Macaca fascicularis: one gene and its partner. The protein of the gene in region 1 purifies or fractionates together with the protein of each later gene. This does not show direct contact. Links are inferred from orthologs where the notes say so. Each region holds a gene or a part of one and is shown on either strand. Other genes may lie near its edges.

What was found. Proteins that work in one complex are often made in the same cells at the same time.
Region 2: the proteins of PRKAR1A (region 1) and VAPB purify together in Homo sapiens (affinity purification with mass spectrometry; 3 studies listed by BioGRID and IntAct, counting the BioPlex papers as one, with this or other methods). This does not show direct contact. The link is inferred for Macaca fascicularis from reciprocal best matches to the Homo sapiens genes PRKAR1A and VAPB.

The regions. Positions count from the first base shown.
Region 1 is NC_088390.1:74,877,944-74,881,604, reverse strand, and holds part of PRKAR1A (cAMP-dependent protein kinase type I-alpha regulatory subunit), read right to left. Parts: intron 2,785-3,661; coding exon 2,614-2,784; intron 1,818-2,613; coding exon 1,726-1,817; intron 1,527-1,725; coding exon 1,465-1,526; intron 619-1,464; coding exon 572-618; intron 1-571. UniProt on the Homo sapiens protein: Regulatory subunit of the cAMP-dependent protein kinases involved in cAMP signaling in cells.
Region 2 is NC_088384.1:114,511,554-114,513,895, forward strand, and holds the end of VAPB (vesicle-associated membrane protein-associated protein B/C), read left to right. Parts: intron 1-298; coding exon 299-457; 3' UTR 458-1,772; downstream 1,773-2,342. UniProt on the Homo sapiens protein: Endoplasmic reticulum (ER)-anchored protein that mediates the formation of contact sites between the ER and endosomes via interaction with FFAT motif-containing proteins such as STARD3 or WDR44.

The sequences.
Region 1 (3,661 bases):
AGGATGTAAGGGGAAACGGTTGGCTAAGCACTAATACCAGTCATGGATACTTAGAGAACCATGGTGAGCACTATGCTAATCATTTTACTTGCATTAGGTCACTGAATTTTCTAATAATCCTAAAAGATCAATACTATTATTGTCCCCATTTCATCTGTGAATAAGAAAGCTGTATGAAGTTTGCTAGCTAATGGCTGGGTCTAGAACCTTTTTTTTTTTTTTTTTTTTTTTCCTTAAAGACGTGAGGTTTTACTTTGTTGCCCAGACTGGTCTTGAACTCCTGGGCTCAAGCAACCCTCTTGCCTCCATCTCCCAAAGTGCTGGGATTATAGGCATGGGTCACCGCACCCAGCTACACATACTTCTTAACCACCACTCCAACAAAAGTTCTGAACAGAAAATTACCTTTAAAAAATTTCTCTGTGTCATGAAAATACTTGGCAAAAGGTATTAATAAAATCTGACATACAAGGGATGTAATGATCCTTCAAAATCACTAATCTTATTGCTCAGAAGCAATCAATACATTGGCTTTTAAGATCAACATATTTTTTATATGAGTAAATCTTACATCCGTCTCTCCTTGATCAATCACATAGAAGTTATCCCCTTCATCACCTAAAAGAGGGTAAAAATGTTAGAAGCATATTCCAAACTAAAGAAACAAACTATCAAAATTAATACAAAATAATAAACTTATTTTATAGTGGTACTGTGAGAGAAGACTGTGTTACAAAGTAACACAATCTTTCAGGGAAAAAAATCAAAAATATATTTTAAAAGTCACAGAATTAATCAAAAATTTTTTTAGTCATCTCACGGTGAATACCATCTCTGAAAAAAACTGTTAAAAGCTGCATATGTGTACAAAGTTATTAACTGCTATGGCATCTATAACAAGGACATTAGAAACAACTCAAATAGTTAATAGCAAATTATCAGGCTGCCACAAAATGGAAATATATAACAATTCATAAAATGTCACGAATAAATAAGAAAATAAAAACAGGAAGATAGTCAAAAAGTCAGATCCATGTTAGTCTATGTAGGCAAAGTAAGAAATCTATATAAGTCCTAGAACCTTCTTAATAGACAGAGCTATACAATGAAGAATTTAGGTGTTTCATTTATTTCTTACTTTAAAAGTGATTAATAATCAATATAAAGGACATGAGAGATATATATGCTTCTGAAATTTTATATGACATTCAAGATAAAACAATATAGGCATTTCCTTTAAATTATAAACAAAACTGTATCAAAAATATTAGTTCCCAATAAAAAGTGTTCTGTCCATCTCAGAAAATTTTAATTTAAAAGAAACAGAAAAATCCAATAGCATAACAGAAAAAAAAAAAAAGTGGTAGGATCAAGGAAAACAAACTTCAATAAAACAAAACCACAAAAATCCTCCAGTCTCGCCTCCTCTCCCGTAACAATACTGCATGCTCCAGAAGCCCTTACCTTGCTGAATCACAGTTTCTCCTGCGATAAAGGAGACCGAAAACATGGCATCAAAAATATCACTGCGAGAGAGAGAAGGCCTCATGTTACATTTCACATGTCTCTTCCATGAGTTTCAAACATTAAGCTTAGTATTAAAGACCCCTGATTGTCATCTGGTGAACAATCATCAAGAGTTCTAAAACTTGCAACACGTGTTGAAAATAATTTGGGATCACACCCTTACTTGAAAAATAATGTTAATAAAGAGCCTGTTCCTACCTTCTCTCATTATCATCAAGATGTGAAAACAGCACATTCTTCTCAATGGCTTTTGCTAAAGCAGCCATCGTCTTGTAATCTTTTGGTATAACCTAGAAAAGAATTGAAGGTCAAATGACAATTCCATAAACCAAAAACATTTCATGTTTGCAACCTGTGTTTCAATTAAATGTCAAGCCACATTATGGTATTTAAACAAGACTGCTTCGAGTTAAGTATTTTCACTACAACACACTTGTACTATCTTTGATCCACAAACTACTCAACAAATATTGACTAATTAATCCCCTTGCCTACAGCCAGGCCTAAATATAAAGTCTGGTACCTGGTTCCCAGTTAACAACTAAAGAAACAAACCAAAACACCTTGACCAAGGTCATTATTCTGAGGCAAAACTAAGCATTTCATAATAATTAGTCATTTTAAAGTCTGTGATCTGTTAGTTTCATAAGCTTCAAGTGCGACAATTCTGTTCCCATTTAAGGTTAACAGCATAATTAAAATAGCAGCCTGGCTCTGAGGAAGAAGAGAATATAGGACAAATGAAGCTCGTAGAATAAAAGGTTAAAAGTCACAACATTTAACAGGATAGCAAAAACCAGACATCATGATTCAAGAAAAAAATCCCACCTCCTTCTACTGCAAAACAACAGCAGCAAGGAAATAACAAACCCCAAAATGCAATTATTCACTGGTTTATAATCACTATTAGTTATTTCCTCTGACAGCATGCTATTACAGCAACCTGTTTTCCAGTACCCAAGAACTATACAGGATGGATGAAGTTCTACCCCGTTTTGTATTTTACGATTCACTCATCAAAGGAGACTAGATGACCACCAAATGGGTCCCAAAAGCATCTCCCTGATGTTCAAATATCAAAACTACCTTTCTAACATATGATGTGGCATCTTCCTCCGTGTAGACCTCAGCGCTGATAGCACCTCGTCGCCTCCGACCTTTAACCACTGGGTTGGGTGGAGGAGGAGAGATTTCATCCTCCCTTGAGTCTGTACGAGTGCCTGCTTTCTGCAGATTCTGAATCTGTTTTGCCTCCTCCTGAAAGAAATTACAAGTTTGCAAAATGAGATCCTTCAGCATGTAAAGCTGGCATTCTCGCGTTCCAATGATAGTCTATCTCAGTCACTTCCAATCTCTTCTTCCATTAACAATGTAAGTTAAGAAGAAAAGACCGATTCCAAAAGGGGAAAAAAATAGAGAGTAACACTTAAAAAGAAACACTCTCAAGAGAATGTACCTCGGATGATAACAGATGCTATCCTTTATTAACGGGCAAAAGCCACCGGTACAAGCCATTAGTACTCACATGTGAGTAACAAATCAGATATTCATTAATGTCTTGACAACAATGATCTGTGATGCACACAACAGTAACACACCGCAAGACGATATCCTGAAAATTGGGTTTTTTTGGATGCTACTGCAGATAGCAAGTGACCCTCCTGCCAAACGAAATGTTATCAGGAAAAACAATTCAAGCCCAACATAGTGATCCAAGAATGTCTAGATTACCGAGTTACTTCATCAACTCAATAAGCCATTTTCTGGATCTGCCATGCCAAGACCTATGCTAGGCAACAGGAATATAAAAACAAATAGGAGAGGGTCCTGAGCCTGTGGAATTCACATTCTAGTTTGATCCCAGATAAAAACAAATAATGAAATGATGTGATGGTAATAATGAATTTAAATAAGATCATTATCTATAATACTTCTCCCAGCAGAGGTAGGATCATTCTTTGTAATCAAGGTTTAAACTTGAAGTTAAAAGACAAAAAGAGTTTACTAGGTTTTTAAAACTACCTATTGGACCAATTCAAATAAAACCTAAGATAAACTATTAAGCATTCTTTTTTCATATCTAGAGCCTTAAAAACAAATTCCTCTCAGATCTAAAGAATTAGTTGTTATGACT
Region 2 (2,342 bases), on another chromosome or scaffold:
CCTTTTAAGAACTTTTTTCTGTAAATCATGGGAAACCAAGGAGCACCCTGTTTAGATTTCTGTTATAACTAGCAGCATCAAGTGGAATGTATGAAAGAAAAGAGGGGACTGTTTTCTCTGTGGCTTCAGGCTAGCCCTTTCCCCTCTGTAGCCTGCAGTTTCTCCATTTGCAAAATGAGGTTGGACCATATCATGTCGGCCAACACTGGGCATGAACAGCCCATCCTGTTAAGCTGTACGGTTGACTCCCCTTTCTGGTGCCTTGGCTTGTCTTTGAAATGTGCATTTGCTCCCATAGGAAGAAGATGGACTGCGGATGAGGAAGACAGTGCAGAGCAACAGCCCCATTTCAGCGCTAGCCCCAACTGGGAAGGAAGAAGGCCTTAGCACCCGGCTCTTGGCTCTGGTGGTTTTGTTCTTTATTGTTGGTGTAATTATTGGGAAGATTGCCTTGTAGAGGTAGCATGCACAGGATGGTAAATTGGATTGATGGATCCACCATATCATGGGATTTAAATTTATCATAACCATGTGTAAAAAGAAATTAATGTATGATGACATCTCACAGGTCTTGCCTTTAAATTACCCCTCCCTGCACACACATACACAGATACACACACACAAATATAATGTAACAATCTTTTAGAAAGTTAAAAATGTATAGTAACTGATTGTGGGGGGAAGAATGATCTTTATTAATGACAAGGGAAACCATGAGTAATGTCACAATGGCATATTGTAAATGTCATTTTAAACATTGGTAGGCCTTGGTACATGATGCTGGATTACCTCTCTTAAAATGACACTCTTCCTCGCCTGTTGGTGCTGGCCCGTGGGGAGCTGGAGCCCAGCGTGGTGGGGAGTGAGGTCATCTCCACACAGTAGTCCCCACGTGGCCCACTCCCGGCCCAGGCTGCTTTCCATGTCTTCAGTTCTGTCCAAGCCATCAGCTCCTTGGGACTGATGAACAGAGTCAGAAGCCCAAAGGAATTGCACTGTGGCAGCATCAGACGTACTCGTCATAAGTGAGAGGCGTGTGTTGACTGATTGACCCAGCGCTTTGGAAATAAATGGCAGTGCTTTGTTCTCTTAAAGGGACCAAGCTAAATTTTTATTGGTTCATGTAGTGAAGTTGAACTGTTATTCAGAGATGTTTAATGCATATTTAACTTATTTAATGTATTTCATCTCATGTTTTCTTATTGTCACAAGAGTACAGTTAATGCTGTGTGCTGCCAAACTCTGGTGGGTGAACTGGTATTGCTGCTGGAGGTCTGTGGGCTCCTCTGTCTCTGGAGAGTCTGGTCATGTGGAGGTGGGGTTTATTGGAATGTTGGAGAAGAGCTGTCAGGAAGTGTTTTTCTGGGTCAGTAAATAACAACTGTCATAGGGAGGGAAATTCTCTGTAGTGACAGTCAACTCTAGGTTACCTTTTTTAATGAAGAGTAGTCAGTATTCTAGATTGTTCTTATACCACCTCTCAACCATTACTCATACTTTTAGCACCCAGGCCCAAGTCTGAGCCTAACCTCTCCTTGGGGACCTAGCTTGGAGTCAGGACGAATGGATCGGGGTGCAGAAGGTTAGAATCGAGGGCACCAGCAGTTGGGGGTGGGGAGCAGTGGGAGAGAGAGACTCTTCAGCTAATCCTTCTAGTACTAGTTGAGAGTTTGACTGTGAATTAATTTTATGCCATAAAAGACCAATCCAGTTCTGTTTGACTATGTAGCATCTTGAAAAGAAAAATTATAATAAAGCCCCAAAATTAAGAATTCTTTTGTCATTTTGTCACATTTGCTTTATGGGGGGAATTATTTTATCATTTTTATTATTTTGCCATTGGAAGGTTGACTTTAAAATGAGCTCTATCACTGGGAAATATGTGTTTCATGATTTAAATGTACGTGTGTGTGTGTGTATATATATATATATATATTTTTTTTTTTGGTTGTCTTCAGCTGACAGTATGAAAAATAAAACTGCTGAAAAAGCTGAGCACCTGGTCACCCTTGGCCTTCCATTGCTTTGGCCTTCAGTAAAAAGCAGCCTCGCTTCTAGGTCAGGGAACCATGCCATTGAGACTAGTAACAGGCGTTCTGGGCACAGTCCCACTGTGCACAGGTTTGAGAGGACAAGTTCATCAGAAGGAAGGCAGTCCTTAGAAGTCACATACATCAAGCCACATTGCTCCTAAGCCTGGCTGTGTTAAGCTGGGTCAGGTGCCTTGAAACAGGAGGAGTGGAAGTCTGTGGTTGGTGAGTAAGGAACTTCCTGTCTTCATGAAAAAAGTTGACTTTGAATCCCAGGTACTCACAGAAATGGTGAGCAGACTTAGTTGTTAC